Sus scrofa: one gene and its partner. The protein of the gene in region 1 interacts with the protein of each later gene in a biochemical or structural test. Links are inferred from orthologs where the notes say so. Each region holds a gene or a part of one and is shown on either strand. Other genes may lie near its edges. The genes, in order: AREG and S100A4.

What was found.
Region 2: the proteins of AREG (region 1) and S100A4 form a complex in vitro, tested with the Homo sapiens proteins (2 studies listed by IntAct, with this or other methods). The link is inferred for Sus scrofa from reciprocal best matches to the Homo sapiens genes AREG and S100A4.

Annotation. Positions count from the first base shown.
Region 1 is NC_010450.4:70,416,477-70,420,910, reverse strand, and holds the start of AREG (amphiregulin precursor), read right to left. Parts: upstream 2,977-4,434; 5' UTR 2,788-2,976; coding exon 2,727-2,787; intron 1,589-2,726; coding exon 1,358-1,588; intron 1-1,357.
Region 2 is NC_010446.5:96,087,695-96,091,726, reverse strand, and holds S100A4 (protein S100-A4), read right to left. Parts: upstream 2,486-4,032; coding exon 2,345-2,485; intron 859-2,344; coding exon 694-858; downstream 1-693. UniProt on the Homo sapiens protein: Calcium-binding protein that plays a role in various cellular processes including motility, angiogenesis, cell differentiation, apoptosis, and autophagy.

The DNA of each region.
Region 1 (4,434 bases):
TGATGATAAAAAAGTACCACAAGTTAGAATAAGTCTTCTCACAGAAATATTTTACATCAATATTACAGCGCTTTATCAGATACATTACAAATTATAGAGACAAATACTTACTACGCTAAAGTGTTACAATAGACATTAATCCCATTGGTTAATTTTCACTGTTTCACAATGCGTTGGAACGTTAAGCCCTAGCCATTTTCACTACCAACAATGTGTTTGGCCTTTTGAAATGTTAACAACTTGAAATAGCTTTAAGAGAACCATTTCTAAGTCTTGATGGTCTAATCTCCTCCCTTCCCAAAATAAGAATTATAGACAGACTCCTTCCTCACCTTATAGAAGAGCATAAGCTCCAAAGGCAGATAACATGGAGTATTCAGTAAAACTCTCTCCACCTGCCTCTTCCTCCAGTCACTGTCCCTATGGTATCACCCTCTCTCCCTTCACCAGTTCTGGGAGCCAGAGAGAGGAGGAGGAGCCATGGAAACTAAGATCAGGAAAGAGAGGGCTGTAAGTCTTGCCTATGTAGTGGAGGCTCCTAGGATACTTAGATCTGATTTGCTGATGACCTGTTCTGCCCTCAAACTCCAAAGTAACATGAGGGTAACAAGACTGACCTCTTCCTTTGGTAACTTCCTTTTAAGCAAATGCTTTTTTAAAATGATCAGATAACAGCCAAAGAGAAGAAAACTATGGGTCACATTATTTAACTGACAAATGGGATTTGGGATTAAAGAGTGATTCTATCAATACATAATCCACGCATACTTGTCCTTCTTTTATTATTTCCAGAAGGTGGTATGACTATTATTATTACCAATTTCGCAACACCTTATCCTTAAAGGCTAAGGTCCAATCGTTCCTTTCCCATTACTTCTGTTCCCTTATTTGTGCTAAAAATGCAGTTATTTGGGGGGAAACGGTGGAGGGGAGTGAATATAAAACTTGAGATACAACATAGATAGGACTGGACCCTCATTTGAGGGTCACGTGGCAGGGTATGAAAGAGCATAGTATCTGGAATCAAACAGACTGGAGTCCTCATCCTGGCTCTGGAACACTGGGAAGAATGCTTAACCTTTCTGAGCTTCGGTTCTCACGTCTGTAAATGGATAACAACTCCCACTGAATAATGTTTTGCAAAGATTAGCCTTCCTAGACATAAAACGTTTGTTAGAGCTGCAGACATATAGGATGTGGCCACGAATAGCTCTTTCCATCTCAATTTAGCCAGTGGATCAGGAAAGAGAGGGCAAGAAAGCCACTAGGAGATCGGGGAGTGCTTTTCTTTTGAAGCAGCTTGTCTTATACAAACACACATCTCACTGGCTACATTGTCACCTTACCCTCTACTCACCTCTGACTGAATCATCTACAATATAGCCAGATATGTGCGGTTCGTTATCGTACTCTTCAGCATAGTCATAGTCGCTACCAGAAGGCATTTCGCTAGCAGGGGGAGCCTCACTTCCCGAGGACATCTCACTTCTGGAGGTCACCTCAAATGCCTCAGCACCATGGTCCCCAGAAAATGGTTCTCCTTTCCCAGAGGAGGTGCCGTTGACGTCCAGTCCAGCAGCATAATGGGCTATGGGAACAAGGGCAAAATGGAAGAGAAGATAAAGCAGAATGTCTTTTCTCCCCAGTCAGCAGAGCGCAGGAGCAGCGCGCAGGAGAAATGTTTATCTTTTGATAGCAAAGCAGTTATTGCACATGTGCTATTGTTTATGATTGAGTCACTTTATGAAAGCAACTTCACATTTTTGCCAAGAAGCAAACTCAGCTGTTCCAATGACAGAGCTTCTTTCATTAAGGTTTTCATTTCCATAGAGAATGTACATTAATTCCCACATCAAAAAAAAAAAAAAGAAAGAAAGAAAGAAAGAAACAAAATACTGCAGAAGAGGTAAATCAAGTTGCTACACTTATTTAACAGGTAATATCTAAACATTGCCATGACTTCACATATGAAATGCATTTGTGTTTGTTAGGATGCTACCTGTCCTATTTTAATAAACAGGTTCTAGAAATAAATACCGGGTTTTCTTAACATATGCTCACGTTTAAGAAGACTATGTACAGGAAATGTTAAAAAGTAATGAAAATAGAAATTGATTATAATTCTCCTTATTGCCACTGTTTATTACTGTTCTCACAAAGAGAAGAAACTAGAGATGAAGTTAAGATTTGGGGGCCAGAGTTTCAAGTCCCTGCTTTATCTTTTAGATCTAAACAAAACAGTGTCAAAGTGGTGCTTTTAACTTCTCTCTGGGACGATGCGAAACCCTCTAGAAAGGGAAAAAACAAAAGTACTTGACAGAGGAGATGGAGAATCGAGGCAGAAGGCTGCGCGTCTCCTTCCAGGATTTAACTACTCTACTCCAAAATCTGTGGAAATCACTTCACCTCTGGACGTCGGTTGGTTTCTTTATCGGTCAAGCGAAGGGTTGGCTCACAGGCTCTCTAAGCAGGAGATCCTTCAGCTGGACTAAAGTAAAAGTACAAGGAGTTTCCGGCCCCCTCTTGATGGCCTGGAACATCTAAGATACACCTGCCCACTCCCAGGGAGTAACGTACAGAGGGAGGGACCAAGGTCACCTCCCACCAGACAGAACCAGGGCCGCCAAATGGCGATTTTTTAGAGAATCAGCAGCAAAATTCAAGGAGCGACCGTTTTGCCCCGGCTGGGAGAAGTGCTCAGCAGCTCAGAGCCGGGATGTCCTCACCTGAGCAGAGGATCAAGAGTGACAGCACCACGGGCGCCGGCGGCAGCAGCGGAGCTCTCATTGGTCCCGCGGAGCTGTGGCGTCGCGGTCTCTGGGGCAACTCGGCCGGGAGCTGCGGGCGGGCGGGAGGAGGTGACCGGGGACCAGGGGCGCCGAGCAGCTGTGCTCAGAGGCCCGGCCGGGCTCGGGCGCTGGAGGCAGCGCCTGGAGCTCGCCTCGGGATTCCCTGGGCTCCGGCTCCCGCACAAGGTGTGCGAACATTCCGGAGGCGCGGCGCGCACCAGTGGCTTTATAGGCCGGGCGGGACCCGGGCATCGCCCGTGACGTCACGGTCGCCGCGGAGGGTGGAGGCGGGCGGCCGCCCCAGGACAGGTTACTACCCCAAAACCACAAACGGATGCCAGGCGCCCCACCTCCTCGGAGCGCAGAGAGCCGCTGGGAGGAAGTGAAAATGAAGACCCTTGCTGCCGGCTGGGGAAAAAAAAAAAAAGACCAATTCTTATTTGAGAGCAAGGGTGGAGTTGCAAGCTAATATCTGACATTCAGAAATCCCAAATTTTCAAACTATCTGGAGGAAAAAAAAAAAAAAACCTTCAGATTATGCTTTGGTTGATCTGAATATTACAACAGACAGGGATTAACTAGAAAATTTCCTATTAAAATATAAAATTACTTAAAGCCCAAGAGTGACTTAACAAGGAAAGCCCCACCCCATGTCTTTAATGCGAATAATGACGTTTATTCCATGACTAGAGAGCCATGCCTCCTAAGGAGAAGCTGTTTTGTATACCATGGGCCTGGATCTCAACCCTGGAGATTCCCCTCCACTACTGTGAAGCAGCCTGCATTTCCAATCATCTCCCTCCCCATTTATCCCATTTCTTTATATAACCTAGGGTCCTTGTCAAAATGATAGTTTATTGATCATTAATTTATGTTGTGGAACTGTACACTAAGCATATTACCTACACCAGGTCACTCCAGAACCTTGCTAGGCAAGTATCATTTTTTTCTATGTTTTACAAGAGGGACACCTGTCAGCTTTACCAAGCAAGGAGTACTTTACCCCGCTGGTCATGGCAAAAGCCAGATGGACCTAACTTCGAGTTCCACTGACTCTAAAATCTCTTTCCTCTCTGATAAAGGGATTTAGGCTAAACTTCTCTTTGGAAAGAAAGTTTCTGGGGAGAACAATAGTTAGCCTACAGGAGTAATCTCTACTGGTAGTGTGTTGGCATGAAGGGTAGTGCCCAAGAGTTTGCCTCTGCAATCCCCAGATAAAAGGGCCAGATTTTAGTGCCTATTTAGAATCTAGTAGGACATTTTAATCATGACAAGTAGATAAAATGAGAGGGAGAGAATTGCTTCATTTGACTAAGTTTGATGTATCTACAATTCCAGAACTGGATTTTTCTTGACTTGAGGAAGAGGAAAAAAGCATTATTCTCCTAGTGTTTCTTTGTCCTGAAGATACATATCTCTTCTGTGACTATTCCAGTAAAACAGCTCTTTTAGGAATGCGGGTCACAGTGCCTCTGTCCTAATTCTGGGAAATTTTTTAAAAGTTTATTTTTAAAATAAAATTTTAAATCTATTTTTAATGGTGTATCATAGTAAAGTAGGCTAAATAGCCTGATATGTTTAGTAGGATAAAATAAACAGTCACAAATCACGTCTTCTCACCTACTGGACATTTGTTGAGAGCGTA
Region 2 (4,032 bases), on another chromosome or scaffold:
GCCAACAGCCTGCTCACCCCCTGCATCACCTCCCTCATCTGAATGTGGACAAGAAGGATTCATCCATCCCTGGGGTTTGAAGCCAAGGTGCTGGAAGGGGTGGCTAGGCAGGGCCTGGGCTGTCAATGTCAGGTCCGAGCCCTCCTCCCCCTCCCCCTTCTGGCCTCACGACTTCCTCCCCGTGACTCAGCCCTTCCCCCACCATCCCCAGGGCGCCCACACTCCTTCCCAGACCCCAACCAAGAACAGATGTGACCTTCCATCCCATCCCAGCTTCAGTCTGCGGTCCTGCTGGAGGCAACGTTGGGGAGATGGGATGGGTGAGTGCCCTGGCCGAGATCCTACAGCTGGGGCGGTCCAAGCCTCTGGGGTCCCTTTCCCTGCCTTCAGCCCCATCCTGAGTCAAGTCTGTCCCACATACCCATGCACGGTCACGCATCCCTCTCCCACCTTCACCAGTCTGCTCTCCACTCTTCACAAAACAGCAGCAAACCTGCCAGTACCCCTCCCACCCACACACCCCCCATATCCCTCAGGCCCCATCCCACCCTCTCAGACCATCAGTCTTATAGCTTTCAGAATCTTTATTGAACTTGATCAGGTCAGGAAGAGCCACGGTGAGGCACTGTGCCCTTTCTGTCAGGGAAGACCCCCTCCCAGCTGGCAGGGCCCCCACCCACATCCGAGGAGCCCTCACTTCTTCCGGGGCTGCTTATCAGGGAAGCCTTCAAAAAACTCGTTGCACATCATGGCGATGCAGGACAGGAAGACGCAGTACTCCTGGAAGTCCACCTCGTTGTCCCTGTTGCTGTCCAGGTTGCTCATCAGCTTCTGGAAAGCAGCTTCATCCGTCCTTTTCTGCAGGGGGAAGAGGCTGCGGGTAGAAACTGGAAGCAGGAGGGGCAGGGTGGGGGCAGGGGGAGCAGAGCTGAGACTAGCTCCAGATGGGACCTCAGGAAGGCACAGGCAGGCTGTGGGTCCGGGGGGAGCTTTGAACCTCCAGCCCTCAGGGCTAGGCGAGGGCGTGGAGGAGATCTGCCCTTCAGATGAGGAAGTCTGGGTACCTGGAAGCCCCTGGAAAAGGGGACTACAACATCGTCTGCCAAGGTCATTTTAAGAATCTGGTTAGAAGAGTTCCCGTCATGGCTCAGTGGTTAACCAATCCGACTAGGAACCATGAGGGTGCAGGTTCGATCCCTGACTTTGCTCAGTGGGTTAAGGATCCAGCTTTGCCGTGACCTGTGGTATAGGTTTCAGACACGGCTTGGATCCCGCGTTGCTGAGGCTCTGGTGTAGGCTGGTGGCTATGGCTCCAATTCGACCCCTAGCCTGGGAACCTCCATATGCCGTGGGAGCAGCCCAAGAAATGGCAAAAAGACAAAAAGACCAAAAAAAAAAAAAAAAAAAAAAAAAAAAGACTCCAGTTAGACAGTGGTCATGAAAGCAATGCATAAATTGTACAAAGGTTGATACAGATGGTAACTGTGATTACGCTGGGGTGTGTCTGTAGGTATGTGTGTATCTTCACATTCACAAGCCAAAGAGAAACTCAAAAATGGTTTATAGGGGAGAGGGTCAAATTAGGAGTATGGCATTAACAAATATATACTTTTATATATGAAACAGGAAAGGCAACAGGGATTTACTCTATAGCACAGGGAACTATATGCAATATCTTGTCATAACCTATAATGGAAAAGAATCTGAAAAAATATGCATGTATGTACAACTGAATTATTTTGCTGTATACCTGAAACTAACACAGCGTTGAAAATCAACTACACATCAGTTTTAAAAAGAAGGTGGCAGAGTTCCCTCATGGCTCAACAGGTTAAGGATCCAGCCTTGTCACTGCTGTGGCTCTGGTTACAGCTGTGGCGCAGGTTCCATCCCTGGCCTAGGAACTTCTGCATGCTGCAGGTGCGGTCAGAGAAAGAAGGGAAGAAAGAAAGAAGGGAAGAAGGAAAGAAAGAAAGAAGGAAGGAAGGAAGGAAGGAAGGAAAGAAGGAAGGGAGGGAAAGAAAGAAACTTTGATAGAGTGTTTATTTTTAAAAATGGCTCATAGCTGGATTGATGGCAAGAGTCAGACCATCATGATTCATGGATCTCAGCTTTATACACGAACTACTTAGGGAAGTGACTTAGTATCTCTGAGCTTCAGCTTCCCTCCAGGTCCATTGTGCCTCTTTCGGCTGGGGGCCAGGAAGTGAGCAGTGGGTGCTCACTAGGCAGCCAGAGCAAGCTCTCTGCCCCCACTTGCCCATGTCAGCCAGAGAGGCCCCGGTTGCTGATGCTCCTGAAGTCCTGAAGACCACCCCGCTCCGCCCCACTCAGCATCACTCACCCCCAGGAAGCTGGGCAGCTCCCGGGTCAGCAACTCCTTTAGCTCAGACTTGTTGAGCTTGAACTTGTCACCCTCCTTGCCTGAGTACTTGTGGAAGGTGGACACCATCACATCGAGGGCCTTCTCCAGGGGGTAGGCCATGGCAGCAGTCAGGATCTGGGGGCAGGATCACAGAGACATCCTTATCCCCCCCCCCAACCCTGCCCCCAGCTATGTATTCAGAATGCCCCCACCTCCATCCCTCAGGGAGCCCTTGGAGAGACTCTGCTTCCACCCAAGAGGGAGCCCTGAAAGGTGGGGCTCGGCTCCTGGCGGGGTGGCTGTGCACACTTGGGAAGTTCGTGCTTGGGGCAGTGAACACCTGCGGGCCAGGATGGCAGGTTCCGGGTTGCAGGCAGTCCGTTTAACCAGAGCCTTTCTCCACCCCTCCTCCCTCGGGCCCTTCACTCCCAGGCTCAGCCCCCAGCAGCCCCACCCTGGCCCATTCTCTCTCTCACAGCGCTGGGTTGGGCGACACTGCTGGAGATCTGCCCAGGGGCCTGTAGCGGAAAAAACCAGCGGCCCGGCACTGCATAGGGAGGGGCAGGATGAGGTGGCAGAGGCGCACGCGGATGCAGGGGAGGGATGGGGAGGCCACCCTCCCTTGAGCTGGGCTGCTGTGTGCAGGGCAGAAGCTCCCAGGACACAAGGAAACAAAAGCCTGCCATCGCCTACTGCCTTCACTGTGCTTCCCATGCCCGAGTGTGCATACACTGGCTTGTGCAACGCAGCAAACATGAGCCAATGTGCACACCCACCGGTCACAAGCATCCCAAAACCTACTACAGCCACCACACAGGCAAGCCCCAGCATCCCAGTACCGCTGCGACAGCTCCCATCAGCCACCTGCTCCTCGCTCTTACTTTTAATTTTTGCGTCTCTCTGGCATGCACATGCACGTGCACACACACGCACGCACAAACACACACACACACCACCCAAGAGCCTTCCCATCAGAATCTCATATCCCGACCCACTTAGCACATCTGGTGCCCACCAGCCTCTGCTTCTCCTGCACCGAGCCTCAGCCTGACCCCCCCTCGTGTGCCAGTCAGGCAACCACAACTCACCAGGCCGACCACAACTCACTAGGCCAAGAGAGAGGAAGCGCAGAGGAGAGAGGGTTGGGGCGAGAGGAAGAGTGGGGAAGCCCAGCAGCCTGACCTATTTATACCCTGGCGGGGCCCTGCCCATGCAGGGGCTGGGGGAGAGCAGGAGACAGCCCTCCCTCCTATCGTGGTCAGATGCGGTAAACGCTGCCGGCCCCCTCCACCAGCCCAGCCTGGAAACCCAGCTTCCTGCCCAGGGCGGGCACGGGGAGGCGGGGGGACCATGGGAGAGCCCCAGTGGGCACAGGGAGGGGCCTCTGTGGGGTGGACACTTGAGTTTTAGGGAGCTGGAGGAAGGGGCAGTCAGTGCCTGGGGCCTGGGGTGCCGGTGGTCTCTGGGGAAGCCAGAACAGAGGAAAGGGGACTAGGGGTGGTGGGAAAGTGCCCTGGCATGTGGCTGCCCAACACGGGGAGGGGACCCCACGCTCAGTGCTAGGGACAGCTCAGACTGCCCTTCCACTCCCCAAAGGGCTCTCCACCCTCCTGAGTGAAGCCCAGGACAGGAGCTGGGGGTGTCTGGAAGGAAGAACAAGCCAACAC